Linked DNA regions of Kluyveromyces lactis. The protein of the gene in region 1 purifies or fractionates together with the protein of each later gene. This does not show direct contact. Links are inferred from orthologs where the notes say so. Each region holds a gene or a part of one and is shown in the gene's direction. Other genes may lie near its edges.

Region 1 (16,241 bases):
TCTTCGCTTAACACTAACGGTAAAGATGTGCTTAAAGTTAAGGGTTGGTCGCTGCCATCATAGTAATACAGATTGGAAAACTTGGGATCTTCATAAAAGGGCATATCGAAATCACTCATGATTGCATCATCTTCATCGTCCTCGTCGTATTCGTAATCATCGTCGTCATTTCTGGGTTTCCCATCTCTATACTTTGATTCCACCTGCGAATCATCGAAAGAAGAATGATCATCACGTTCAAGCTGTTTAACCATATTCTGTTCTTCAACATCCAGAATAGCCATATCGTCATCACCAGTCTCAAGGCCGTTATCTATACCGGTAATATTTTCGTTATCATCATCAATGGTCTTGAAATATGCCTCTTGATCGATATTATAATCTGAATCCTCACTATCTGAAAATTTCGGTACCGCCAATCTATCGACATTTGGTTTAATGGAATCTAAAGGTTGTTTCACATCTTTATCCTTGACTTCCTCACCTAAATCTTCATCAGCCTTCTTGGAGGCTACTGAAGCATCACCGAACTTGATCCCATCGTCGCCTTTGAAATTGAATGACAGTTCAGGAGCATCTGATAGTTCAGAGCTTGAAATGTCCTCATCATTCGAATCCGAAGCTTCACGATTCTGCTGAGCCCTATTAGGAAATCCACCCTGTTTACTATTACCTTTATTGTTGCTGTTACTGACGACAGTTTCTGCAGGTGTCTTGCCCCTCTTCAAAGCGTTCAGCTGTTTCATTGCGTTTTTCTTACGTTCCGCAGTAAGTCTCACAAAATCCACGTCATCGTCTGAACTAGTACTCGAACTGTCGCTATCATCATCGTCATCATCGTCATCGTCATCATCATCATCATCATCATCATCATCATCATCGTCATCATCTACTGCCATTGTACCTCCTTCATCCTCCGAGAGAGACTGGTAGTCTGAAGACGCTGTAGCACTGTCCGAACCTGATGTGATGGCTGAGTCCTGATTCGTTGATATCAGCTTTCCGTTCTTACCCATCGCATTCGAAGATCGACCTTTTAGCTTAGTTCCGGCTTTGGGATTCTTATATAACGGTAACTTGGACAAATTCGAGCCCCTGCTGTTCGAATCCTGTGGTATATCACTCAGCGACGAATCACTAGAATATATTAGACTGAAACGTCTCGGTCTAGAACTTAAATGCGGAGGCTTATCCTTCTTATTTCCCATTTTATCCTGTAACGCTTTCAGAGTCGTAGGCTTCTTCCCACTAGTTAACTTCCTCGGGCTTTTACCTGACATAATATATATGTGTTATCAGTTGCAATTAGCAGCTGCAATAATGGTATTCTACTCTTTAGTGGACTTTTCTATATGCACCTGGATCAAATCAATAGGCTCAACAATTTAATAAAAAGAAAACCAAAAGAAAAAAAAAATTTCTAGGTTATAAAACGTTTTATCCAGTTCAACACAATCTTTAATAACTAGCTAATCAACAGTAAGTGTCCTGGGATCACACACAATTCAAATCTTTATTCCTTATTCCTTATCCTTTCTCTTCGCAGATAAACGACTAGTAGAATGAAACCAAAAAAAAAAAAACCGAAGAGCAGGGAAATCTATTCCTGAATATTCCTGATCTTACTGCACTTCTAACCTAGATACGTAAAATTTTCCACTATCTTTACAGCCAGCGTTGGTAGGAGAAACTCTGATTTGATCAAAGACAGAGACAAAGACAGAAACAAGGTTATTCTCTGCTTTTTTTACACACTATTTTATTCTAGTCCCAATTTCTTGAGATGAGCTCTAAGTTTACTTTTTATTTCTCTGTTTTCCTATGAAAATTGGTTGAGAAGATAATGAGGAAAAAAATTTCTTTTGTTGTACCGGGTAATGTTCTGCTGTGTTTGAAGATTGCCAAGATACGTAATTTGACGTTTGACGTTTGACGTTTGACTCTTGGATATGGGAGATCAGATGTCTGGGATTAATGACGACTCGCATCTATTCACTCTGTTAATCATTTTTTAAATTTATCTGAATTGGATCTATGGACTTATAAATGTTGTTTCTACAAGTGATATTGCACGTTCGTCATCTACCTCGGTTCTTTGACAGAACTGATATAGATATGGGTTGATTCCTTCCACCTTTTCCACAATGCCTTTCAATACCGTGGGCATCTCTTGTAATATATCGTACACATTGATTAGATTTAAGGGCCCCAATAGTAACGTGGGGCATAGTTCACCGTCTTTTTTGGGTAACGGAATCTCTACGATGTTTGGATACTCTACTCCGGTCTTGGGATCCAGTGTTAGCCCAAAATGTTTCACATGCTTATGTTTATCCTGTATACCGCAATATATGCGCTGTGATGAGGTTATCTTGTTTGTGTCCGACGATATGGTCACTGTTTGTTCACCGTATTCTTTTGGCGTTGTAAACTCCATACATAAAATTGTCCGTCTAGGTGACATGAAAGCAGCGAAATTCCACGATTTGGCAGCGCTGTTAGGTTTAAGGCCTTGCAATGCAGTGATGAGGACCATAGGTACTGAGTGAAATTTTATCTTTTTCGAGTTCACCACTATATGCCCTGATCCAGTACAATTCGGAGCAAATACATGTCTGATACACCTGTCGACGTTTGGGTTGCCCCTCATGGGAACTCTCGAGAAGAAACTCCTACCATCGGGTTTGATCTTGAATCCCTTGCCTATATTCACATCTAAACTGATGGACAACTCTTCCGTTTGACCTTCGACACTTAATGTGCCTATCCTTGATTCATTCGGAACCGCTTCAGCTCCTTGATAAAAATTGCGTGAGCGTTGTTTCTTTCCAACAGTATCTTCGTCCCAACTGGGGTCACATTGTTTCCGAAATATGAACCGCATGTTCTGATTGCTGACTTCTAACGGGGTGAAAACAGATGGCTTCTTTAATTTGACGTTCTTCCAATAATCGATATACTCACTAGCATTATCACTCCCAGAGTCATTAGTACGGTCCTTGTCTACATTAAACACCTTGATGTTCATTTCAAATGACTTGTAGAACCCTCCTAGGACACTGCTGTTTAAGAATTGGATAAATCCACAGTATCCACTATCTTGATCACAAAAATATAACGTTTGAGTTTCGATCTTGGTAGCACTACCCTTTTTTATAAGTTGAGAACTGCTTTTTGTTATACCACTTTTCGCAAGTGCATTCCCAAGTGCGCTATCATGGTTCGCATGAGGATACGTTTGCCAACTGAATCCATCAACGTCATTGATCTCATCATAGATTTCTTCACCTCCAGCGACACTACCAACAGGTTGAAAATATCCCATTCCTTAGCTTATCGAACCGAATTGCTGTAATCCGTTCTCAAATCTCGTTGTTGCAGTACTCCCTTAGGTACCTGCCATTGGATATGTTATTCTTCTAAAAGGCTTTACACTGAAAAAAAAAAACCATCCTGAAATGCCACAGAATACTTATATAGGTTCTGTCAACTGATATTGACACATACTAATGCGGAAACATATTCTTGCTAGAAAAATTAGTCGTTTGCCATTTTTGTATCCGTTTTGACATGTCGTACGACTCAAAAAAAGGAGCCTGAGGGAGAGAGAGGGGTGCGGGGGGCGGACTTAACCCGTAGATTCGAAAAGGGCACCGCTTTCCGTTTGCACGTAATGAAATAGCTCACAGTACACTGATTTCCATGCCACTTAGAGGTGAAAAAAAAGGAAAAATAGGCAGCTCCAATTCCTTAAAGTTCTTGTCCAATCCTGCGTACAAGGGATCTCCAAGAAGATTTTCTTCTTCAATTACCATTACGCCTTTTTTTTTTGGGACTGCGGCGAAGTTCTAGAATGTTGACATTTCCAGCAGCCCGTAAATCTTCTAGAGCATGACTTACTATACGAATTGACCCAGTTCCCTTAGTTACCTAATGCCTTTTCACTTGTTTCGTCGTACTTGCCACAAAAAACGGTCTTCTTCCTTTTATGTCGTTTAGTGCAGATATTGCGGCAGAAAGGCATGCAGGTACCGAGGGGTACAAAAAAAATTTAAAAAAGTTAAAAAGCTTATTCCGGCATATGATTACGTTCAAGCGCGCACACACAGCGAGGAAAAAAGCGTTTATTATATAGCCTGTATTTGGACTAGGAATTAGTAGATAGATGAGGTGTTACAGCCACAGAGAATAATCAGCCCTGATTCATTCGTTATATTAGCCAGTTTGGTCTTTCATAATGGAAATGAGGATCGCATCCTAATGGTCCTGTCATTTCAAATACGTAAGAACATCTCGTTGGTTCTGAAACCGACTCGATTTTGAAATCCGGTGCACATCTCATTTGAATTGTGGCGGATCTTAAAGGACCATCCCAGCATTTAGTACCCCCTCTGTACTCTAATATTAACCCATTGTTCAAATCAGGTAGATTTCCCAACAAGATTTCCTCTTTGCCGATTTCGACAGTGTCACTTGATAAATGGTTGCCAACTTCTGTGTTTGGATACCTATATTTCAAGCTTTGAAGGTAAACGTCATATTTTGAATTGGTGTCGATCGTGAAGCCTCTATAACGGCCTATCACAACTTTGTTACCATCAGGTTTGTTCTCTATTTGAACAATATCACCGCCTTTGTCGTTTGAATAGCATAATCTGTAGATATAGGAATTAAGTTCGCTATCGACACAGAAATCCTTTAAATTATTTAGCAACGTGCCAACTTGTTTGTGGATCAATTGTGACTCTGAGTATTCTCCACCTTGGTCGTTCAATTTCTGTTTCAATTCTATGATCTTCTTTTCTGTCTTTCTGAGCTTCTTTTTTAGTGAGAGTCGTTGCTCTTTCATGAATTTGATCTGGGATCGGTAGGATTGCAATGAAGTAGAGAAAAAGTTCATACGATCGAATGCACCTTGGACTATCCTCATTACACCCCAGTCAGAACCTTCCGTTCCTGAGTCGACTGCGATGTTTGGTGCCTCTTTCCCAATGAACAGCAATAATTCGGAAAATGTGTCACTGAAATTCTCAGGGAAATCAATGGCGTACAGGGAATCCTCATATTTGGACATGAACGACATATAACTGTCGGTGAAGCTCTTCACTGCGCCGTCTTGAAAATTTATGTCATGATTTTCAATTATATCATCTGCAATTTGTTGGAACTGTTTTATTCCATCAAGAGTTAAATCCTTGGTTTTATACTTGACGTTAATGATTCTCTGGATAAAGTTAGATTTGGCAACGATAATCTCAGGAGTATATTTGCTTTTACCCTCAAATAAAAATGTTGGAAGCTCTTCATTAAGATATTCATTGATTTGGTCACGCTGAGTACCGTCCAAGCGGCCGTCAGGCTGGAAGGACTTCTTAAACTTCATTTCTAATTCTGCAAATTGCTTCATGTTCTTAATTACCACTTTATCATTAAGTTTACGGTTATAAGTTTCATATAAATTATTCAAGATGAACTTTAGTTCATTAAAAGCATTTGATAACATTTGAGCATGAGAGAACACAGACACTACCGAGTCAGTGATAAAAGTAACGTTTAAGTTCTCGTATTCAAATAATTGTGGCGATTCTTCAAAGAGTTTACATCTGTAAGATTCCTCTAAACTTTGTAAATTTTCTTCGACATTGTTCAATGCTGTTTTAAGATCCACTGAGTACGTAGTCAATCCATCTATTTGAAAATGAACATTTTCAGCACTGTTGGGATCGTCTGTATTATCTTTCGTCTTGGATTTGAGTTTCTTCAAAGCAGTGACACCAGCACGGTAATTTTCCAATTCTGTGTTAAGTATTCGCTGAAACTCATCATTCAACTCTGAACATGATTTACCACGACTGAACGGCTCACGCAAATACTCATCTGAACAATCACAGCAGTCGCATACACCGTCGTTAATCTTATAATTCAGTATATTTCTTGGAGTGAATCCTTCATTATTACAGTAGAAAAGAGCACGCTCTTGAGAGGCATTAGTTCCTGGTTCATCAGAGCAATCCGAGCAGTCACACAAATTATCATTTATAGAGCTGTACGGTATCACTTTTGCTGTATCATCTAGGCATCTCCATTTTGTTGGATCCTCTGGTAAGGGCGAGTATAGTGACTGATTCTCTGGTGGTACACCTCTTATACTTTCGGAAGCACATGCCAAAGAGAAAAGTACCATCAATAGTAACAGCATGTTGTCTACAGTTGCCTATGGTCTCGTCCTTACAGGGGATTTCGGGTTGGCTCTTCTTCGATTTACGTAGTGAGCCATACATAACTTTTCATGATGATCTGCTATATTTAAACTCAAAGATTCGTTAAGGAAGCAGACCACACATAGAAAAAACAAGAGCATGAGCTACCAAAGAACACTTACTACGATCCAACATCATTTCTTGAGGGTTGAGGCAGCCATTGACACCATGTTTTCTCAAGGGACTACAAGAAAGGTCCCAAGTAAACCTCTTGCTTTTCAAGTCACATGATCAAACAAGTCACATGATAGATAATTACCCAATTAGTTTAATTGGTAAACAATGAACCTGGAAGAGTAAACTGATGAGAAGTTAATGAAACCTCAAAGCATCGAACTTTGTCCCATTGAAAGGAGCTAGTGTTTACAAAATTCTGTGTATCACATGAGTTTCTTGGTTGATTTGCTTTTACAAAGAAGCTAAGAACGATATAAAGTGGTAGAAACACGTAAGGAATAGTGAGAGATCTTCTCTATGAGACGATAGAATTGACTTCAAACTTATATAACTAGAAAGAAGGGGAACGAACAAAACCAACCGATTAACACCAATATAAGAATCGGTAAAGCTTTAAGGGTACAAACAGAACAAGAATACAAATTAAACAACAAATGGAAATCTCTGGTAAAATGCATGAGGGTGACAGTCTAGTGGTAAGTCCTAAATCATTAGATGAGCTACCGATAAACGTTATATTCCAGATACTATCAGAGCTCAAATTCTCTGATTTAAAGAATGTGTCAGCCACATGCTGGACGTTAAGAATTCTTACGAATGAAAAATTAATGTACTATAGTATACTTCATGACCCAAAGAATCAATATTTATGGACGAAAAGATACTTTTTAGATTCGCTAAGGATGTTACAAAGGAATAGACGAGGTTTCGATTTTGTATCTTTGAATGACACAACATTCTTTCAATCCCTGCGATATCTGCATAATGGAGTAAGGAAGGTCTCAGGGAACCTCTTGAGACTGTTAGAATCAAATGATGATTTAGGGATAAACGAAATAGACACTGCATCGGAAAGTGAAGACAATGACAATATGAACAACGATGAAAATGATAATGAAAGTAATGGATATGATAGCCAGAACCAGCGAGTAGGAAAAAAATACATTAATGACGGGAGAACTGATGGTGAAATGATGCCCGACAACTCAGATCTCTGGGAAACTGAAGATGAGTCGGATATTGACACAACTAATGACGTTAATGGATTGGACCAAATATACGCTGAAAATATATCAGTTTTTGAGGAGGATACTGGGAGTGATAGTTATAATGATGGTCAAATTCAACCGGTGCAAATATCTATGAATGACTTTGCTGATAGTGAAAGTACGCCTACTAAAAAGCCACGCACTAAGCCGACAAAGATCGATAAGGAAGGATTGAAATACTTGAGAGTTTTGGAAGGCTTTCATAGGATTGGTGTAATTTCTGGGAGAGAAACACCTGATAGGATAATTACACATAATACCTCTGCGACTCCAAATAAATATGGCAACTTACTCGATGATGTACAATTCACCCCACTCAGCACAATAAGCTCTTTACTAAAAAGAATTGACTCTGGATCAGATTCTAATCATGCCCATTCTCCCGATTCGTTTGGAATTTCGCATTCGCGGTCAGGAAGTTCCGTATTTTCAGATGGTGCCCCTAAGTTAGCAGATCAGCCTTGGTCAAAGATCTATGAATTGGATCATCAATCGCTTTCAAGTTCTGATTCTGATTCTTCTTCTTCTACTGAATTTATACGGCAGTTGCAATCGTCTAAAAAGGTGAAGGACAAGGCTGTACTGTTTGAACGGCTCCTGGCTAAGAGTAAAGAAAGAAGCGTTTCGTTGAAGGAGAAGAAATCCCATGCATCAAGTAATAATGGTAATTGCCGAAAGGTGTCAGATGATTACTTGGCAGAAACAAGAAGAAACGCATCTCCAGCACCTTCATCAGTTTCTTCGATAGATACTGAAATGAGATTAACAATGCAAGAGGTAAAGAACAATTCAAATGATCATTTTGACTCTCATGCCAAGACGAAGAGTTCATCCACTCACGGAATAAAACATTCTAAAATTCATCATAGAAAGAAACTCAAAGCTTTGGTCATGGACGGAAATCGGATTTGCTACGAAAAGATAACAGAATAACACGATGACTTGACGACTTGGGGAATATACTACGATACTGCCTCAAGCCCACACCTTCATTTTCTCACATTTTGTCTATGAGTGTTGATCACAACTGATCTCAACATATAATACAAATGTATATATATAGTTACCCTACATTCATGATAACTTCCTTTTTATTCAGTGAATTACATATGCATCGTTAAAATCCACTGGCTGGCATTGAATCAGGAAAGAGAGACGTACACACCACTACAAACGTCATTTCATCCCAACCAACCATCTCATATCTACTCCGAATTTTGAGTCAATTTGAACGAATTTCTCGTGAGCTTTAACAGATTAAAAATGGTCCTTTCAGCCAGCGAAGAGATAGCTAATTCCCAGCCCAGTGGTAATGGTAAGACGTCATTAGACATCAAGCAGAATGAAGGGAATCCTCAATTCAATCCAAGAAATCTTTGGCCTGATATAATCAAATGCCCGAAGAATGAATGGACATTCGAGTATACTGATATAATTAAAAGGTTAGGTACTGATGAGGAGAAAATTCAATTGACGAAGAAGAGAATGGAGAAGTGTCTCATGTACTTCCATAAATTGAGGAAGGAGATGAAACTTTTCGATCATACTTACACTGCAGCATGTATATTATTCTACCGTTATTGGTACAAGTATGATCTTCCGCCTACTATACCTCAATGCATCCATTTGGCGCAAGCTATTCTAGTTACGGCCTGCAAAACCATGGAAAATAACAGACCAACTGACCACTATATAAAAGCAACTTGTGATTTCATGATGAAAGATGGCCCGTCCCCAACTGGTCAGAAGTTGAACGTGGAGAAATTGAAATGGGAGGTCAGGGACCAACTTGTTTCATATGAAAAGAAAGTGTTATGTCAGTTAGGGTTCGACCTTGACATTGACAATCCGAAAGAACTTATAGAGGAAATATTCAGTGGATATTACAGACATGTTAGAGATACTGATATTGATGCATCACTTCGAGAGATTTTCCCCGTGATTTTACAAGAAGCAAGAAATTTCATCATCCAAACAGGAACACAGCCAATTTCATTGCTATGTGATGGATACACACTTGTGGCCTTAGCCCTAATATTCGCTGGTGTGACCTTTCAAAAAAACAAAGAACCGGGCTTCAGCTTCCCTCATAACTTCTTCAGGAGGCGTTTCCCAGTAATTATAACCAGTGAAATCATTGCTTCGTTGTTCTCGCATTATCAACAACTTGAAAAAGCCTTTTTCGATTTGAAGAGCAACAAAAATAGCGCTTTATCCATTACTGTTGACGAAATAGACAAAGTGATAGATGAAGATAGACAGTTAGATCCCGAACCATTCAACCCTTACGACTACGACATCATAAAGGAGGGAGAAGTCAATGAAGAACTTTTGAACTATACCGAAAGAAAGATCGAAGAGCTTTCGAATAGAATCATGTCTGAAAGAAGCATAAAAAGACCTTCAGAGCCACCCGCCGAACAAGCTACGAAGAAACCGAGATTTTGAAAATTAATATAAACTATGTAGTATCATCACGACTCCATTGACGGACAAACTCATTCATACCTTTTTTCCCTCGATTTTGTATGCACTATTTTATGACACAAAATCGTCGCTTCTTTTATTTCACTGTCGAAGAATGTTGTCAGATAAAAGATAAAAAAGGGTTCGAAGAAAGAACCACATCATTGCATCATACTATTTGCGCACGGAAAAGATACGAAGGTTCACGAACGGTGGCAAAGTGAACAGTGTTTCCCATCAGCTATAATGTTTGGCAAAAAGAAATCTAATTATCAGATGCTTAGTGCAGAAGAAATTCGTCGCAGGAAAAATGCCAAAAGAGGCATACAGTTCTGCATGTTGGTGATAGGAGAATCAGGTTTAGGCAAGTCCACTTTTTGCAATAATATCTGCAACCAAGAGGTTTTTGGACACGAAGAAGAGGGTTTTGATCCTGCCACCGCACATTTGAGCCCAGGCATTGATATTGTGTCCAAGAATTTCCATTTACAAGAGGAAAATTCTACACCAATAAGCCTCGACATTGTTCTAATTCCAGGTTTGGGGGATAATATCAACAATTCTAATAACCATGAAGTCGTTGTTGATTATTTGGAATCCCAGTTCGATCGCGTGTTGAATGAGGAAATAAGAATCAAGAGAAACCCAAAAAATGTTGACACTAGACCACATGTTTGCCTATTCTTCATTAGAGCAACGTCAAAAGGCCTTCGTGAGCTAGATATAAAATTGATGAAGGCGTTATGTGACAAGGTCAATATCATCCCAGTCATCAGCAAAGCTGATTTATTAACCGAAAGGGAAATAGCATTAAATAAACGTCTCATCATGGAAGATATTTATGAAAATGATATCAATATCTACGATTTTGTAGATGATAAACTAGAAGATACTTTGATGCTTGTCGAGGCTAATGATTCTAGTCCAATTCCTAATAACACTTCTTTTGACAGTATGCAGCAAAATAGTTATGGTGAAGGAACAGCCCAATTGAATACAGCTTGCTGTAGAATCAGGGATATGTTACCATTTTCGATAATTGGTAGTAATGAAGTTGAAGTCTCACCAAATGGAGAACTGTTTCACGTGAGAAGGTACTCCTGGGGAACTGTAAAAGTGGAAAATAGGGCTCATTGTGATTTCATTTATTTGAAGAACATTCTATTAGGATCTCATCTTCAAGATTTGAAAGATACAACGCACAATAAGCTATATGAAAATTACAGAACGCAAAAGCTTTTAGCTGGCAACAACTATCCGTCAAATAATGATGAAAGAGATATTCTTGCAGAAAGTACTGTTCTAGAGCATCAACTTAATCATAAATCAAAAGAGATCAATGAGGAAATACGTGGCTACAGTTCTAAACGTCTTGATGAATTGAATAGTAATTTTGTAAAAGAAACTATTTCAACTTAATCGATTCGATTTATTAACACTGCTTCCCACTAATATATAGATAGAAGACTTGGTGTTACATATATAACAAAAATTATATAAAAGTGTACTTTTGCTTTATCTTTCATTGAGCTGTCGCCAAAATTCTATGAAGTTATTGGTACCATTTTCGCCCATTTCAACATTATCACGTTCATAATCAGACCCACGAACTTTTCGTTTCAACTTCTCTGCTTCTTTCGAATAAGTATGTCGGTTTGATAAGACGGGATCGAATTCAGAGTCGACTATTACTTCATTGGTAGACAACCGGATTAGGACACTTGGTAAAAGCTTGAGATGTTGATGATTCTGTGCAACTGACTCAATTATATTCACAAAGGTACCAGAAAGCGAAAAATTAGCATAATCAGTGACAAAGTGCTGTTCATTTATGGATTTTGCACACTGGTAGAACTCACCATAGAAGTAGTTGAAAGTAGCTAAGTCAACTTTATTCACAAAAAATAAACCCATCAATATTTTGTGGAAACATACAAGCCTTTTAGGGTCATCGAATGGGAAATGAACTGCAGCTAGCATGTAATGACGGATCATATAAGTGGAAAAAACTGTTTGCGGTATTATCACAGTAGTCTTAACATCATGTGCGTGCTCATAGTCTAATACTTTCCCATCGAGTAGCGCAATAAATTCATAGATTTCTGCACATATCTTGAAATACTCCGCAGTCATATGCTTATTCTGGATGTCCTGTTGTGCAGATATTACACTGCTTGAATTTTCCAATATTGTGTATAATATGCCTTTGAACATGTCCAAACGATTCACCCTAACCGAATTGAAGGACACGTATTTTACCCTTTTCCCTTGATTAAAATCTAAATTCAAACATTTTGCCAGATAAAGTGAAGTTTGTCGAATTATCCATGTTATCCGAGACGAGGAAAGGTCTGATCGCTTCTCACTGTGACGCTTATTTTTAGAGACTGAAATGAACTGTAGAATCCAGCGGAAAGAGAAAAAAGCGGTCCCATATTCTTCATCTAGAAGCTCGAAGAATGCTTGAATAATTCTGAAGTTGATGATAATGTTTGTCTTCCATCTAAGAACAAAATGATCATCTGCATATCTAGCACATAGATTATCCGACATATAATTTGCATCCACTGTAAAATCAATATCGGGATTGTGATCAAGAATACCCTGCATTATAGAAATGATACGCTGTTTGCTAATATTACCATTTTGGAATCGTTCTTTCACAAGATTTAAGGGAATGAACGAGAGTATGATATCCACAAAGTCGTCCCATACTTCCGTTGAATCTTTGATTAGTTGCTTGGCTTCAAGCGTCTTGAGACATTTTTCCAATAACGACTCAAAACAAAGTAGAACATCAACATATGAACCTAATAGTAGATGACATTAGAGTTAGTATTTACCATTCAATCGTTATCATTGTTAGCTTTCATTTAATAATGTCACTTACCATTACATTTCGAATTTTTGTCGGTCATGATATCACAGTTATTGTTGCCGACTAAAGGGTGCTAATCACGAGAAGCAAAATTATGCTTGCTTAAGGCGAGGATCATAAAAGCTACACCTCTTGTGTTGGTATATATCGTTTGTGCCAACAACCAAAAAATGCATTCTAAAAGGTTCACTTCATGTGTGTCTGACACCCATCGATAGAAAATATCATACTTTTCCTTAGAAGAACCGAAAATCAATTCCTAGAATAGCAAACCTGCAACCAGTGCTATACTAGCAACTCATATACTAATACCCTGAAGAGATGCGACCGGCTATGGATACATAATAATAAAACTCACACATCGCACAGTTGACTCTTTAATGTCTTAGTCTTTAACAACTACAAATGTAATATTGACAGAAAATCATAAACCAAAACAAGAAAGTTTACAGTATGTAACGCACAACTAACAAAAGTTATTAAACATTCGATAAAAATACGGAGCCAAAATATCACTTCATTCTGAACCATCAATATCAGTATCTGCTGTTTCATATGGTATGACAGGAGACGAAGAAGACAGTGGTATTACCAAAGAGACTCCCAATTACAGTCCAGATCGAAAACAGCTATCGAACAAGATAGAGTCTACTTCCTCAGATGAAATAGTGTTAAAAGAAAATACAAGCACCCGAACGCTCACGGGAATTAACAAGGCTATAAAGGCTTTGGGTAATACTGCTCTCAATTTAAATCCAACGAATAAATCCCTGTTAGAAGACACACCTGAGGGAAATCGAGATCTCGAGATTAGACGAAGAATTGATATCCAATCAAAGACTGATGTATTGCAACGATTTCAGGAGAAAGACTTGAATATCGAAGTGGAATTACCGTTTGATTTGACTCAAACTAAAGGTATTCTTTTGAATAACAATGACACATATCAACCTGAATTATTAGACACGCCATTAAAGAATAAGATATCGATTCGCTCACTTAGGAATGCTAAAGGTGAAGTGAAGGCAGCTTCAGAACCGATCAGCTTGATTGAAAATATCAACTCGTCCCCAGAGGGGCATCCACAACCATTTATAATGACACTGAAGGATGCAGATAATGGTAATATCTTGGGTGATATTGACACTCAAAATGTAACTCAAACATCTAATGAAATGTTAGTACCTGCAACGAATTCAGCTAATGTAAGTCAAACACAAGAAATCAGGTCTACATTGGCCGATGAAAAGATGACTCAGCTAATTAGAACTCAGTCTAATAACCTCGATGTCTCAGAGAGCTTATTGAAACTAGATGAACAGTCTGCACTTCAAGAGACATCAATAGTGCATACATCTCCAATCAATTTTGGCTCATTTCATCACAGTCTTCTTCCTTCTACCAGAACTATATTGACACAAAAGGAAACAGGTTCTAATTTCAACGAAGAAATCCAGTTGGTTCATTCTCCAGCGGTCGTTAATCTCCGACCCATGCAGCAGGCCTCCAATAAATCACCTTCAACAGTATTTAGTGAAGAAGAAAGAGAAGAAGAAAAAGAAGATCAGGAAGTAGCCAAATGTCACTCGTCTATTGAGATGAACAATGAATCTTCTCAGAAGGAACAAACAGATGAAAACTCGAGTGAAATGAAGTTTAAACTCACATATTATGTCAAACCATCCAGTCAGATATCCGACGAGGATGAACAAATTGGGGGTGTCCGGAATGATGCTACCGATTTGAACCAACGTAAACACAATGAACATAATCCTACGAATGATGTCTCAAGAGAGCTCTCGAGACTGGATACAGATCAGGAATATGAACAAACTCAGGAACTACCTGAAATTTTCGAACGCAATGAGTGCAAGCACAAACCGTCATTTGAGTCACAAGAACAACTTAATGTATCCAAGAAACGGAAAAACAAGCAGCTAATATTAGAAGAAGAATTTGAAGATAGTAGTACACCAAGTAAAATGACACAATTTACAGCTTTCACTGAAGGTGTCTACCTGCCGAAAGAACTTCGTATATCAGATGAAATGCAGTTGACTAAAAAAGATGTTTTATTCAATAATGCGGTCTGGTATTATTTTAATGATTGCAATTTTTATCCTGGTAAGATACTTTCCGAACAGCGTACGAAGCCTGGGTATTGCTCCGTTCTTTTCGAGAAACGTCAAAATGATGTTAGGGTGGAAGACATTTACTATTTAGATATTAGATGTGGAGATAAAGTCCACTGGAAGATGAATGAATATCAAGTCGTAGCTTTAGATTGCCAGATCCCACAAAAAGAAGATGTCATTCGATGCATTAGAGGATATGATACGGTGCATTTAAGAAAGGTACTGAGAAACGGAAGACTCAGCAAGAATGATATTGTAGATACCATTGCATCCATATACGTTACCACCGGGGAGTGGATCAAACGAACCAAAATAAAACTGGAAGATGAAGACAATGATCCTTTGGATGAATTGAGACGTTCTGTTAGAAGTCGATCAGTGAGGGATTCTATTTCTCCTATGAAGAAAACCGCTCAAGATTATAACAAGTCAACTTCAGAGATTTTCAGAGACACTTTCTATGATACTACTATAATGAGTGGATTAGAAGGACAGGGAGGTTCTGTTTTCGAAAAGTGCATCTTTGTATTGAGTGGACTTAATGATATGGATAGAAAAAGGTTATCTTATCTAATCGAGATACAAGGAGGATATGTCTCCAGCGTAGGGTTTGAAAGTCTGTTAAGATATGAAGACAGATCAAGAGAGTTTAGTTGGAACAATCCACGTTTTAACAGTTACCGTTTTGGTTGTCTTATTGCGGGAAACTTTTCAAGAAGTCCGAAGTATTTAGAAGCATTGGCTTTGGGATGGCCTGTACTACATTGGAGGTTTATTGAGTCATGCATAAACAAAGGTTATATCTCGACTCAAACGATACTACAAAATCTTTTGCCGAGCGGAGAAAGTAACAGGTTGATGGCTGACTTCAATCTAGGTATTATCAAATCAAGCAATGTTTTTAGTTTCCTGACAAACTTCAATAGCAGTTTGACTTTAGATGCACAACTAAACAATGCCAGAGTAGTTTTGGAAGATTACTCGATATTGATTTTAGGAGACTCCGATATGAATTTTTTCGTGGACTTCATTTTCCAGGTGTTTAAAGTTGGTCATTGGGAATACACGAAAAACTTGAAGTTGAAACCACAGCAAGAGTTGGACGATGATCTGTTCGACCAACTTGTAGAATTTCGGCATAATTACCACAGTAAGAAGATGATACTTTTCATCAACGAGACGTCTTTGCAGAACTCATCCGACTGGGAAAATAGCATTTCTAAAAGGTTCCTGATGGAGGGTATAAATGATTTTAGGATCAAAAATAAGGAATGGC
Region 2 (15,291 bases), on another chromosome or scaffold:
AGATGAAGCTGTATAATACCGAGATGAAGTATTCTTCACTGAATCAAAATTTTCGATCAATAACATAATACTGCGAATTTTTCGCAATGGAACAAAACGCATAATAATCTGCGTGCGTTTCGCACGTAGAAGTACTTCAGTAATATTTCTATTTCTTTATCCAGCGAAAATTCCATATTTGCCTGCCAAAAAAAAAAAAAAAAACGCAAGACATTACACACATTCATACCACATATATGGAGAACCTGTACTCAATACAGGGCGAGTAGTCCTATTTGGACTGTTGAAGTAACATCCACCCTCCGCCAGTATACTTAATTTCAACACTGGCCTAGCTCAAGAAGTACTTTAGTTTGTTTCTCGTCAGCATAGATAATGGTCGCTGATGACTTATCGAATATAGAGACACAGCTACGACAGGTTCGTGAGAAATATCGTGAGCAAGCACACTCGCTCTCGCCAAGCGATGCAGAATCATGGTCAACCTTGGCATCAAATTTGCAGAAAGTCGTCACAGAAATGGATCAGCTTTTGCAGCGGAACTCTAAACAGATGAACGTATCCTTCCTATTGAACCACGAGTCATCATCGCTTCAGGCTGGAATACAGCCACCGCAACCGCTTCTACAGAACCTATACCAAAAGAACGGGAACGACGAACAGCAGAACCATCTCAAAGTCAAACTCGATAGAACTGCGTTCTATTCGGAAAATTCCCCCTTCCAACATCAAATGGATCGGTCTGGTTCATTCAGACTCTGTCCACCTTTAGCACATACAAGTGCAGAAGATTACTTCCGCAACGATACGCAAACCCCAATTATGATCTCAGATGGCCAGATCCTGGAGAACTTGGCCAATCTTAAACGTCTCACTGAGATGCAACGCCAATAGGTGGATGTAATCTTCGTTTTCGTTTGAGATTCGACACATCACATATATGATCCATCTTTTATTTGAGTCATGCGAACGTTTTTGACCAATTATACACATATACACATATAATATGTATAGTAAAAGATAAAGCTGTAATGATACACTATAAAATATCTGTTGGCACCAGTTGCAGAACCATAGAGGTTCAATACCCAACGCAATTCTATCTCTTTGGTATATGTTTTCTCTTAAATCTGTCGAATTTGTCGCTCTTTGAGGGGGAAACAAAATTCGAAAAACATTAAAATAACTAACTAGCAAGTAAACATCAACATCAATAAAGTATCAAGACAAACAACGACACTAGGAAAGCTCTACACGCAATCTGACAACGGCTGTAGTGGAAAATCAATAGAAGAATTACATTGCTCTAAGTTATAAGTTATTTTTTTACCCCTCATCATGACTGGGAATCGATCTCTGGTTCAGAGACACAGAAAGAAGTTCGTTGTTTCTAGTGTTTTGTTTGCTACGCTATTTGCTACATGCGCTATTACGGTCTATTTCAGTAAAAGATGGTTGTACAAGCAGCATTTGAAAATGACGGAGCAACGATTTGTCAAGGAACAGATCAAACGGAGGTTTGTACAAACTCAGCAGGACTCGTTGTACACTCTTTATGAATTGATGCCGGTAATGACGTTAGTGTTGGCTAAGGATTTCGATCTTGATTCTATTGTAGAGGCTCTAAAGGGGAAAAAGTTACAGAAGAAGCTTTCCAAAGGTGAAATAGCTGGGAATGAGTTGGAAAATGAGGGCTTAAGTTCAGGAATGAGTGCGATGACGCCTGCACCCAGTGTGTCAGCGAAATCTCCGCAATCTGCAGATACCACTAGCGTTTCTGAAACGTCTACGAAATCCAAGGCCGAGCTTTGGGACGATTTGAAACTCAAAGCTATCACCAAGATCATTATCTTGTCCTATACCACATCATTATTGATGCTTTTAACCCGATTGCAATTGAATATATTGGCAAGAAGAGAGTATTTGGATACTGCCATCAATTCTGCCATGGAAAAGGAAAGGGAAAAGAAGGCTAATCAATACTCAGTCTTATCTTGGTTCTCTAGTTGGATCACTGAAAAGAGCAACAATTTACCCAGTGAAAAAGCTGACCCAAGAAACAGCGATGGTACTATTGACACGGACACAAGGAGCATTGCATCCACTGCGAACCCTGAAAAATCGAGATACGTTAACGAACAAGCTTTCTTATCCTTATCGTGGTGGTTATTAAACCGTGGATACCTACAATACAAGAGTATCATTGAACAATTGGTGAAAGAAGAGTTCCAAAATTCGAACCCAAGAGATATCATGACAATGGATGAGTTCAGTGGCAAGATAAGCAAGATATTCGTCACCACAAACAAGCAATTCTTTCAACAGCCACAATCGAATGAAATGTTCATTTCATGTCTACTTCCTGAACCTAACTTAGAGAGATTTGTTCTTCAACAAACTTTAGAACAAGATGCTTTGAAAGTACTATACGAGGATAATCTATTACTAAAACAACTTGTACAAGAGACCAACAAATGCCTACAATCACCTGGAACATGGATTGTCCTGGAGTCTTTAATCGATGAAACATTCCACACAATCATGGAACAAATCGAGGATAATGTCAACAGCAAATCGAAACCTAAATCGAATGATGACGACACCAAAGTAGTCGATATATCCAAAAATTCATATCAAATCGCATTATTCTCTATCGCCACGAAAGACTGCACAAACGAAATGTTGAAAGCGGGACTCGTATCAATGAACAACAAGTTCCTACAGAAACTACACTCCATCTCGGCACTTGACGATCTCAGTGCATGCGTATATAGTAACTTCGGTCTATGAAAACCTTACTTGGCCCTCCATTCAAGTACTGAAATCGCTCCATACCGTGTATGTAGATAGTTCTATAGTTAACGTTACTCTTTCACTGGCACTACGGGGTTTCTCTTCCTGTTTCTTTAATGGCCACGTGATCATAATTTTCTTTTCCTTAAGGTCAAATAACGAAAAGAATCGAATTCCCAACAGGTTGTCAATCAACATGTTATACATCTCAGTTAATGTTTGCAAGTGGATAGGAGCTTGGTGTTTGTAGTTAGTTAGCACCATAGAGTTACCAAGTGGGTTCTATTTAGTACCAGAAAATCATGTCCAAGGAAAACCAGAACGTTGTTTTAGTGAGTGTTGAGGGAGAGAGATTTGTCGTTGACAGGAAGATCGCTGAACGCTCACTTTTACTAAAGAACTACTTGCAAGATCTTAACAGTGGCGATTTGCATGATGATAACGATGCTGACGATGACGAAGATGATGAAGAGGATGGTGACGATGAAATAGTGATGCCCGTGCCCAATGTGAGGTCGTCAGTATTACAGAAAGTGATCGAATGGGCCGTTCATCACAAGGATTCCAATTTCCCCGATGAAGATGACGACGATTCGAGGAAAGCTGCGCCTGTGGATCCATGGGACCGTGAGTTCTTGAAAGTGGACCAAGAAATGTTATATGAGATTATTCTAGCAGCTAACTATCTAAATATCAAGCCATTGTTGGATGCTGGATGTAAAGTTGTTGCGGAGATGATTAGGGGCAGAACACCTGAAGAAATCAGAAGGACCTTCAATATCGTTAACGATTTCACTCCAGAGGAAGAAGCTGCCATAAGACGTGAAAACGAATGGGCAGAAGACCGTTAAACTTACAAGTTTTCTTGTTGTTTTCTCTTTCTGTATCTACATCCTCTTCAGTTTAAAATAGCAATTTCCCTCATTTCCCGTATGTAATCAATAATTTAAGTACTTGCTTGTTAAGCGGATCTTAATTGAAGTAGTGAATTTGAGTCATGGGCAAACGCAGGGATCGCTTTCATATCGCATTTATAGCTTCAAGGTCTGTCTCTGCACCGATAATTTTTCATTTTTGTACCTATATATAATATTTAAAGAACGCGCTACCTTAAATTGAAACTTTTTGCTTCTGGTTTTATCTATTCAAGGCAGAACTGCATCGATAGATGCACCATAGGACCCTTGTTACTGGTATACTTGGTGTAGGATTGTGATGACGTTGACCATTGGTGAGGAGACCAAATCCAGACTAAGATCGCTAAGCGGGAATACTAGTTCGTTGCTAAATTTAAACAAACGCAAGAAGAAGAACAAGGAAAAGAAAAAGGATAAGGACAAGAGTCAACCAAAGTCTCAGGGCAATACACGTGTGCTACGGTCTACGAGTCTGAAACCCAATGTCAATGATGATGCATCTGCATTATCGTCGAATTCGAGCTATGATAAGGTGTATTTGATGGATGGGAGTGACCATAAAGCAGGATCTGCGAATCATGCCTCTGATAAGAACAATGTTTCAAGCACGGGTTCAGGTATCCAAAGCATCAAGATTCGTAGTAGCAGACAGTCTGGCGAAAAGTCAAGATCGAGGTCGCTGAGGATTTCTACATCATTGTCGAGGCTTCCGAGAAAGAATTCATTAAATGCAGGAAATGATACGTCTTCCACTGAGGGTTTCAATCAAACTGCAATGACAAGGGAAGAGAACACTGATCCATTGGGTTCGAGGTTACGGGTAAGCGATAGCAAGGCTTCTCTATCTGACGTACCATCAACGACTCTGTTCACCAAATTCAAGTCTTCGAAAAGTGATAGTGCGACTCCCGTAAAGAGTAAGCCAGACGAATCTGATTCCGGCCTCTTTTCATCGCTAATATCGGCTGCACATAACGCTGCTAACCATTTGATACCCAAAAGTTCACTGAAGAGTAGTAGCAGCCTTTACGATGAACCGTCCAATGGAGATAGAACTCAGTTGCTGACTTCTGGTATTGGTGGTACAGATACAAGTAATGATCCATACAACCATACAGGCTCATTTCTGAATCATTTAGACTTCCTTCTTGCTCCCAGCTCGAATAATGATTATTTACTGAAGAAGGCGACGACACTAGACACCCTTAATACCAGCGACTCCTCTACATCTTCCATTTCTCAACAAATGACTAATCCGTCTTCTACCGTGCCGTTATACGATGATAGCGATCAAGATGGTAATAACAGTGATGATATTGGTTCTGTGGGAACTTTCATGGATAAAGTCAAATTTACATCAGTAAAGCAAGATAATGCCCCCCCAATTTCGACCTTTGGGAGGGGAAATCTAACTTTAGATGCCATTGAAAAGGACAAAGATGATCTCAAGTCCACCGGCTTTCATACACCAAGTGTGCTGATTACCACAGACCAACCAGATCGACCGGTATCGTCTCCGTCCCCACTCTCAATGCCTAATGATGATGCAAATACGGACAGCAATACAAATTCTGCCAGTCCTTCATTCGAAAAAACTAGGCCGAGGAACGGTAGGTCAAGACGCCCCGAAGTGTTGAGAGATTTAACTATGAGATCATTGTCGCCTGCTGCAGCTACGAAATTATTTACAGCACCCCTAAGAAATTCATTTTCGGGCAGAAACATGACAAGAGCGAGTAGCATATCCAAGACCAGTGATATTGTTCAACCACCTGGAGGACCAACACGCCTGTCAACTTCGGACATTCCAATAAAGAGAAAAACTGAAGAACCAGAACTTCAAGGCATTGAATATGCAAGTGCTAAGCGTAATACAGATTTCCATACAATCTTTAAAGACACCGTAGTATCTCCAATTGAAAGATTAATAGCGGATTACAGTTGTGCTTTATCAAAAGATATTCTCATTCAAGGTAGGTTATACATATCTGATAGACACATTTGCTTTTACTCGAATATTTTGGGATGGATGAAGACTGTTGTAGTTCCATTCAAAGAGATAGTTCAGATCGAACAAAAGAACACTGCCGTATTATTTCCTAATGCCATATCGATACAAACCTTACATGACAAGTTCCTGTTTGCATCTTTCATATCAAGGGACAGTACATTTGATCAAATTATGGATATATGGAATCAAACAATAATCAATAAAAACTTCAAGCCTAAACGAGGTACTATGGGATCTGCCGATCTGATGAATGATGAGAATCTGACTCTTGATAGTGAAGCTTCAAGCATGGATTACGATGATGAGGATGTTCAGACTAACGACCGGACTTCCACATCTATCACTGATTCCTATGGTAACCGTGATGAAAGTGATTCGTACGATGACGACGATACCGATGACATAAATCCAGATGATATGACAAGTAGCTCTGAGGAAAGCACAAATAGCGTGTCTGACGAGGCAAGACCCTCAGGACTTTCCAAAAGTTCAAATTCTCAAAGCTCAGCACAGTTGGGTCCTTCGAAACATGAGCCGACTACTCCCGACTACACGCCAAAAGAAAATGAACGAGAAATGGGGGAGACCATTTTGAACGCCCCTCTTGGTACAGTGATAAATATACTCTATGGCTCAGATGTCCAATACTTTGATCGAATATTAAAAGCTCAAGGCAACTATGATATCTCCAAATTTAATGAAATAATCCAATCCAAAAAAAGAGAATACGTGTACACTAAACCAATTTCCGGTAGTATAGGTCCAAGTAAAACTCGCTGTGAGATTACTGAATCAATCGACAAGTTAGATCTCAAAAATTACGTGCAGGTCACACAAGTCTCGAAAACTCCCGATATACCTTCGGGTAATTCCTTCGTTGTTAAAACAATATTCTTATTCTGTTGGGCTGATGACAATTCAACCAAGGTGAAAGTGTATACTTACGTGGACTGGTCTGCTAAGAGTTGGATCAAAGCGGCTGTTGAAAAGGGAACCTTTGACGGAATAAAATCTTCTACGAAAATTCTTTTCGAGGAACTTGAAGACATCATCGAGGAAAACAAAGGTAAGAGCAGCTCCCCAGATAACAGAAAGGATATTGAAGAGGTTTTATCTTCACTACCATGTTTGGGACCTAAGGAACACGAACCAACCGAATGCACTTTTGAAAAATCAAGCGGCTATGAAATTATTGACGATAAAATAAGTTTCAAGTCTCCTGTTGGTACCATCTTCCAATTAATATGCGGAGATGATACCTCATACATGAAGAGAATATTGGAAAGGCAAAAGAATATTGAAATATCTGATATCCCACCATTTCAGAATAAGACTAGAAAGTACACATACGTCAAGCCGCTACCAGGATCAATTGGTCCAAAGCAAGCAAAGTGTTACATCGAAGAGAAGATTGAATCTGATGATGTTAACACGTGTATGGTACTTGAACAAATATCAAAGACACCAGAAATCCCATCTGGTAATTCATTCGAAGTGCATACCAAATTCTACTTCTCCTGGGGAGAAAAAAACACCACCAATGTCTTAGCAGCAACGAACATTGAATGGACTGGGAAAAGTTGGATCAAATCGGCTATACAAAAAGGATCTATAAACGGACAGAAAGCTAGCGTTCAGGATATGGTAGCTGAAATAAAAGACATTCTTTCTTCTGCGTCGTCAACAACGAAAAGAAGACCAACGATATCTAGAAGGAAAACTGAAAGATCCAGGTCAAAGAGGAAAACCATATCAAAGTCAAGGGAACAACCAGAAGTACAGAATGGCGGATTATATGCAACTGTCCAAGAAATATATGGTATTGTTAAGGATCTAGTTGCTGACTTACCTCCTATTATTCTTGCTGCTGCTGCTGTAGTGCTGCTTATACTAATCATATTTGTCCCTAGACTCTGTTCGAGTTTATTCCACAGAAGCCCATCGCCTCATTTCGTTAGTCCCAGTACAATTGTTATGGACGGGGAGGAGTACTATGTTCTGCCTGCCATGGAAACGTATTATGGAAGGAATAGGCGTGGTAATAAAAATAAGCCATTCAGTAAACTTTATTCTGATTCTGAATATGATCTATGGAATTGGATTGATTCACACAGCGGCTCGGAACTAAACAAAAAATCTGGACCGAATTTAGATGTCAATTACAATATAAACAGTACTATTCCTTTAAACAAAGCTGTGGAACATAAGAAGCAAAATTTAAAAGAGGTTATCAGATTAACTGAGTTACAATTAATGAAGCTAAAAGAAAAAGCAAATTTAACCGATAACTCGACTTAATCGCAATTTGTAACTAATATATAATATTCATAGGCATAGTTAATCACATTTGGCTTTATATCTTCTAGCCGCCATCAAAAGTAAAGAGGTCAATTGAGCTGACCTTGCCTAAAAGTCCATGTCTCATATATTGATTGCATCATCTTGGTACGTATTTACATGTATAAAAGTTTAATATTTGGCCATAAAGCAGTCCGTAATATTATTATCGAATTACTACCGGGGCGGTCTAACAAGGGTGCATAATTTAGGAATTCAGTGGAAACGCACAGAAAGTCAAGAATATCGATCATTACGCTGGAGAGTTAGCAATTGCGGGTGTTCAACGAGATTTACTCAACATCAGCTTGCTTGTCATTTCCGAGTTCACTTGATTCGGGATCGTGGTTTGGTTTAACCACTAACTTGCTATCTTCAATAACCACATTTACAGTCTCCTCGTGTCTCAATTGACCCCTTAGCAATTGAATAGCCATTGGATTTAGGATTTGTTTATGGATCAATCTGTTCAAAGGTCTAGCACCGTACAATGGGTCATAACCTCTTTCAGTTAACCAATCCTTAGCTTCGTCAGTTAGATTTAGGGTCATACGCTTGTCGTTCAATCTTTCTTGAATTTCCTTGAGTCTAATATCGACGATTGAACGGAGAACTTCTTTTGATAGTCTGTTAAAGACAATCAAATCATCAATACGATTGACAAATTCTGGAGGATAGTTCTTTTTAACAGCTTCAATTACGCTTCTCTTAGTCTTCTTGCTAACCTTACCATCATCACCTAATTCGGTATCATGCAGCAAAATGTCTTGGCCGATGTTCGATGTCATAACAACAATGGTGTTACGGAAATCAACTTGGTGACCTTGAGAATCTGTTAGTTTACCTTCATCCAATACTTGCAATAAGACTTTACAAACATCTGGATGAGCCTTTTCGAATTCATCAAATAATACAACAGCATATGGCTTACGTCTCACGGCTTCAGTTAACTGACCACCGCTTTCACTTAACACATAACCGGGAGGTGCACCGATTAATCTTGATACTGTATGTTTCTCCTGGAATTCAGACATATCAAATCTGATAACGTTAGATTCATCATCAAACAAAAACTCTGCCAAAGCTTTAGTTAATTCTGTCTTACCGGTACCAGTAGGTCCCAAAAACATGAAACTAGCAATAGGTCTCTTTTCACTGGTCAATCCAGCTCTTTGTAAACGCACTGCGTCACTTATAGCATCGATTGCTTCATCTTGACCAACAACTCTTTCTCTTAATGAATTCTGCATATATAGTAATCTGTCCTTATCACCTTTCAAAACGGTTTCCATTGGAATACCTGTCATCTTGGCAATGACTTTAGAAATGTCATCAGAGGTAACAGAGTCATGTAACAAGTTGTTTTCAGTATCCTTCTTGCTGTTCAGTGCTACTTTTCTTTCCAATTCAGGGATCTTGGCATATCTTAGTTCAGAAGCCTTGGCATAATCACCTTCTCTTTGACAAATATCCAATTCGGTTCTCAACTTATCTAAATCTTCCTTGGCAGTCTTGATGGAATCCAATTCAGATTTTTCGGTTTCCCAAATTTCAGTCAACCTCTCCAATTCTTTCTTCTTCACTTCCAAATCCTTTTCAAGTTCCTCTCTTCTTTCAACAGAAACGGGATCAGTTTCTTTCTTCAAGGATTCTAATTCAATTTGCATTGTCATAACAGCCCGATCAATTGCTTGAATGGAGTCAGGCTTTGACTCGTGTTGCAAACGTAAAACAGCACATGCTTCATCGACCAAATCAATAGCTTTATCTGGGAGGAAACGGTCGTTAATGTATCTGTTGGATAGCACAGCAGCGGAAACTAAGGCTGAATCTGTGATTCTTACACCGTGGTGCACTTCATACTTTTCCTTTAGACCTCTCAAGATTGAGATTGTATCATGAACAGAAGGTTCATTCAAGATGATAGGCTGAAATCTTCTGGTCAAGGCAGGGTCTTTTTCAATGATTTTGAATTCATCCAATGTGGTAGCACTGATACAACGTAACCCTCTTGCCAAACGCGGTTTCAAGATATTCGAAGCATCCATAGAGCCATCTGTCTTACCCAAGCCTAGTAACATGTGAACTTCATCGATGAAAACAATGATCTTACCATTGGACTTATCAATTTCATCCAAAACGTTCTTCAACCTTTCCTCGAATTCACCACGGTACTTAGCACCAGCGACCAATGAACTTAAATCCAAAGCGTATAAGTCTTTGTCTTTCAAAGATTCTGGCACTTCATTGGCAACAATTCTTTGAGCTAAACCATCAATCAACGCAGTCTTACCGACACCGGCTCTACCGATCAACACTGGATTGTTCTTGGTTCTACGCGAAAGAATTTGGATAGCTCTCGATATTTCCTGATCACGACCAATCACTGGGTCTAATTTCCCCTGTTTAGCCAACTCCGTTAAATTCGTACCGAACTGTTGTAAAGCTGATTCTCCACCCTCCTGATCTTTATTCAAATTTAAATTATAATTCTTAGCATAGCTACGAACAGAAGCGACATTGAATGCAGTAGAAATGGGCGGTATACTACTTATATTGGGCCTTCTAGCACCAATATTTAAACCAGATATAACTTTATTACCCCGGCTTATTCCAACTGTAGTTTGGTTTGGTTTTTGAACCAAACTGCTAAAAGACCGGCACGTACATCCAAGTTCAACATCAGATATACTAGGTTGATATATTTTAACGTTCTTTAATAGCGACGTCCGACTTAGCTTACGATTCAAATTTTCAGCAGACCTTAGCATTATTTAATCCACTCTGATTGTAATTTCTTGATTCACTATTTCACCTGCAAACTGTGTAGTTGTTTGAATAAGGCTGCTATTAATAAACAATCTGACCAAACGTAACTGAATCAGTGGTTGATCTGACTGTATGCCTCTTGCTGAGCTTTACTGTTGTTGTTTTTCTGAATTCTCCCTTGTTCTTATATACTTCGAAATGTCTCAACCGCCGAGGTCTTTCTGTTGTTTTCTCCCGAATTCTGGAAAAACATGGAATTTTGGTCACATGACGTTCAATTTTGGCACGTGATTAGGAACTAAAGCAGGGAGTTATATGGATCTTGTGTTCACTATGGACAAGCAAAGTACCAAGCAGGAACGGAGAAAAGGTTTGAATATAGAAATTGGAATGTCTTGTAGGAAGTCAGGTCAATTACTTACTAAAAAGTGATACGTAAGGGAAAAAACTGCGGATGTGAGAACTGTGATTGGGAATGCGTGTATGCGTTAAGAGTTAATTATTGTCAAACAAGATTTACATTAGAACTAAGAGCGATGGTGCAGTGATTCATCAAAGGTTTATCTTTTGCTGGTACTGACCTAGTTGGAACTTGAGCATTCTGTTTTCTGCCTTGTAAGTTTCAAGTTCTGCTGCTATTCTGTTGTAGTCTCTTGCCTTGAATTCAAGATCCTTGATATATTTCTCTCTTCTCTGTCTGAATGCTCTCTGAGCGTTCCTGTTCTGGGCAGCACGCTTGGTGTTGCGCAATGCTTTTCCCGACTTTCCAATTAATTCTCCTTCGGTATTTAGACGTTCGCCGTCATTTATCATTGTGATTGTAGGTAACGTCGAAGTAGCCAATGTCGTGGAGTTTTGTAGTAGCGACGCCGGGTTTGAACCTGATGTCTGTGACGACTGGTTACCTGTTGCGTTTGTCGTGGAAGAGTTGATACCCGTGGTACCGTTGATAGTATTGGTGGAGGTTGTGGTATTATTACTATTAGGTGGGTTCATTGGGAGATCCGTAAGGTCGGATTTCATGTTCATCATTCTTTGAGAAGCCGTGTTTGGCATGTTATTTAGACCCGGTATACCGCCGTTGTACATGACACCGCCGCCGCCATTGGAATTATTTGTAAGTTTAGCGTTCGCATTTGGATTGGTATTGGAATCAGACCCGCTGTTCAACATCATAGGCATCTGCATGCCCATCAACGTACCGTTACCAGAACCATTCGTGTTGATACGACCAGTACCGCCTAGTTCTGCCCCGACCGGGGTAGTGGTCACAGAGGGCGTAGTGGAGTTCCCAAGCGTTGAGTTCACAAGTGGTGAAGCACCAATCTTACCTAAACTATGGTGGTTCCCTAAATTCATGTTATTCAGGTTGTTCATATTCATAGGTGAAAGTTGAGGCGAGTTATCCCCTGTTACCAAGGGCATATCGATTCCCGGGACCGGAATATTCATACGCTGTAACGACGCAGTCGACATGGTACTTTTAGGATATTGCATGAAACCGGGTGTGCTCCTACCTGTTGAATTCGCAGTGTCACGTATCCTATCCTCGACATCTTCATCGTTGAGTTCACCATTATCTTCTTGATCGAGTGTATTGCCATTTTCATTGTTGGTCTTACCGTTCATATTTTCTTTCTGGTTCGCTGTGGATCCTGAACCAACACTGAGATCCCTATTATCGTTGCTAGAAGCGTCGTTCCCAGAACTAATACTCCCTTCAGTGGCAGAATTCCTATCACTATCATTAAGTGCATCGGTATTATTACCGTCATTGTTGTTATTATTGATATTATTATTATTATGATGATGACTGCTATTAATATTTCGGTTGTTGGCATTACCATTGTTATTTTTCAAGTTAGTACCGGTGTTGCTGGTTCCGCCGCTACTATTGTAGTTCAACTGAGGCAATGAAAGATCTTGCATGGCTCTTGGAGTATTAGAGAAATTAGACCCGGTATTACTGACGGAGCTCCTAGTACCGTTTTCCACATTTCCGGATCCACTATTGTTAGACTCTTCTTGGACCAAACTGGCCAAATTCAACAACGATGACTGCGAGTTATTCATCGACATCTCTTATCCTGTGAGTATACTTTTTCTTCCAATAAGTGCGTTAGAAAAAGCCTAAAAATCACAGAGACAGACAGTATCACAATATTCGTATCGATTAAGCTTTATGAATATTGATAACCAAGGCCACTGATGATATTATCGACACCACAAAATTCTTTAACTAAATTTAGGGTTCTTGATCCGGTCGATGATTTGTAATCGCAGGAAGGGAAACTAGGAAGAAGTAAAGTAACGTCAAAATATCAAAATAGAGAAAACCTTGAAAAAAAAAAAAAAATTCAGGTCTTGCTCGATCTTTCTACTGCGGGAGAAAATGACTATGATGACGAAATAGAAGAAGAATATAAGAATAGAATGCTCGAAAAATCACTTTTGTTGGGATGGCAACAGGATAAGTTATGACGATGAGGGTGTAGCTTCTTATCCAGTTGACCTTGCTTTATTAGAGTTGATAAAACTGACTTTATTTCCTGGTTGAGGCTAGAACTCTGACTAGACCTTAGGATTAATCGTGAAAAGTAATAATAAGTAAACTATTATGATAGAATCAGTTTAACAATCAAGTGTATAAGCAGACGAGGGTGATGGTGCCTATCGGTACAAAAAACGCAAGAGAATATTATTGAACCCACGGGTGAAATAAGCAAAGGAATGAAAAGAAAAAGCCGGTCGTATTTATATAATACTAGCTACTCATCTGACCTACTTATACCAATATTGTATTTTTGGTACGGATGTGAATATAACACAATCCAGACAGTTAATAGTGAATGGATTGACGAACCCTTAAAAGGTTATGTAGTGTTAGCCTCGTCCTTGCTTCATCCTTCATGCTTCATGTTTCCGTCGACGACGTAACACTACTATCCAGCACGTTACGAACTTGCAGCACTCGCCGGTTCAGACCCCACTCCTTTCCTTGACGAATTTTTTCTATTTATTACAACGGTAACCAGAGCAAAGCCGTTTTTCGATCCATGTAGAGTAGCAACACTCAAACGTAACACACATTACAGACATCATCGGGCTTGCTTTATCTTTAACTATGTGCAGTATGGAAATTTATTTGCTATTTGCCATTTTAAAATAAAAATGCTACGCAGTCTTCCAAGTATTTTGTGAGGGAAAATTCCGAGCCCAGTGAGGAAGAAAGAAGAAATGAGGTCTCTCTCCGAACACAGGGAGCTGCGCTCTGCATGTGGAAAAGCTGTAGGAAGCTGAACAGGCGACTGGTGTAAGCAACAATGATTGCAATTGACATTGATAAGTCCAGATCAAGAACCTTACCTATTGCATGTGACTGGTTGCTCTCTTCATGTTTGATTTCTACTATTTTGTAGTTTAGATGTTAATATTAATGTTTGGTCTCGATATGTGATCTCTGCTGACGTCATTTGATTTGTCACAGGCAAGGCAAGGCAGGCAAGAGTTCAAGGCAAGACCAAGGAAGGCACCATGATAATCAGCAAAATCGCTGGATCTTGCGAAATGAGCGTACCGTGGAACAGGAAAGACGTGCGGTTTTGTCAAATAACGTACGGTGTATCCGTGCCTGTGTGTGTAGTTCACATTTACACTGGTAAGGGAAGCTCCAAGTCACGTGGTTTGATCACGTGCCTGAAGATATTTCCTTCTGCTTCGTCGTTTCGAGTCAAGTTACCATTGCAATCCATGAGCAAGTCTTGAAACACTTGCCATTGGTCTTCGTCCACATAGCAGTCCCAATAGGAGTTTGGTTCACCAACGTTGACTTGCAATCCGGCGTGCGCGTCCTGGCGCACGCTCTCTTGGTCTGGAAGTGAAAACCTACTCCCGTCCTCGTTGGCTGGATCGTTCCAGTTCCACGTCATATGCTGTGCCCTGGCATAATGGTAAGTCTTAATGCCCGAATCGAGGTAGCTCATGAATGTTTCAGTCAAGCGTTGAATACACTCTTGCTTTCTTTTCTATTTGTTATGTACATTTGTTTCATTATATTGTTATGTTATTGTGTATGCGTGTGCCATTATTGCCGGAATTCCCAGTTTTTTCAATGGGGTTGATATGACTGGTCATGTGGTTAGGTAAGAAGCACCGTCTAACTAACGGACGTACTTCATAATAGTAATGTAGGGCGTAATTCACATCACTAGGATATCCTTCATTAGCCTTATCTCCTTGCCACTCGGAATATTTTCCGATTCCTTCTATTCCTCGAGTCTAATTAGAAAGTGAACTTTCCCATGAAAACTCTTGGCACAGTATATTTAAACATTCACACCGGAACATAGACATTGTACAAAAGGAGAAAAGAAGTTCAAGCAAAACACCCCCCATCTTACCATCATGCTAGGTGGTACAGCGATGGCTGATACTAGTTGGTTAAAACCGTTGGTGTCTCAGTTC

The links.
Region 2: the proteins of MFB1 (region 1) and SKP1 purify together in Saccharomyces cerevisiae (affinity purification with mass spectrometry; 4 studies listed by BioGRID, with this or other methods). This does not show direct contact. The link is inferred for Kluyveromyces lactis from reciprocal best matches to the Saccharomyces cerevisiae genes MFB1 and SKP1.

Annotation. Positions count from the first base shown.
Region 1 is NC_006042.1:1,205,718-1,221,958, reverse strand, and holds MFB1 (Mfb1p), read left to right. Parts: upstream 1-6,871; coding exon 6,872-8,419; downstream 8,420-16,241. Other genes in the region: KLLA0_F13222g (uncharacterized protein), read right to left, coding at 1-1,280; KLLA0_F13200g (survival factor 1 family protein), read right to left, coding at 2,033-3,325; GTB1 (Gtb1p), read right to left, coding at 4,211-6,199; BUR2 (Bur2p), read left to right, coding at 8,750-9,934; septin SPR28, read left to right, coding at 10,199-11,371; ADY4 (Ady4p), read right to left, coding at 11,468-12,562; chromatin-binding protein RAD9, read left to right, coding at 13,391-16,241.
Region 2 is NC_006041.1:1,496,238-1,511,528, reverse strand, and holds SKP1 (SCF ubiquitin ligase subunit SKP1), read left to right. Parts: upstream 1-3,095; coding exon 3,096-3,644; downstream 3,645-15,291. Other genes in the region: KLLA0_E16985g (uncharacterized protein), read left to right, coding at 376-894; PEX3 (Pex3p), read left to right, coding at 1,339-2,790; YSP2 (Ysp2p), read left to right, coding at 4,009-8,019; chaperone ATPase HSP78, read right to left, coding at 8,352-10,829; KLLA0_E16875g (bZIP transcription factor), read right to left, coding at 11,380-12,906; SWM1 (Swm1p), read right to left, coding at 14,478-14,810; DFG16 (Dfg16p), read left to right, coding at 15,232-15,291.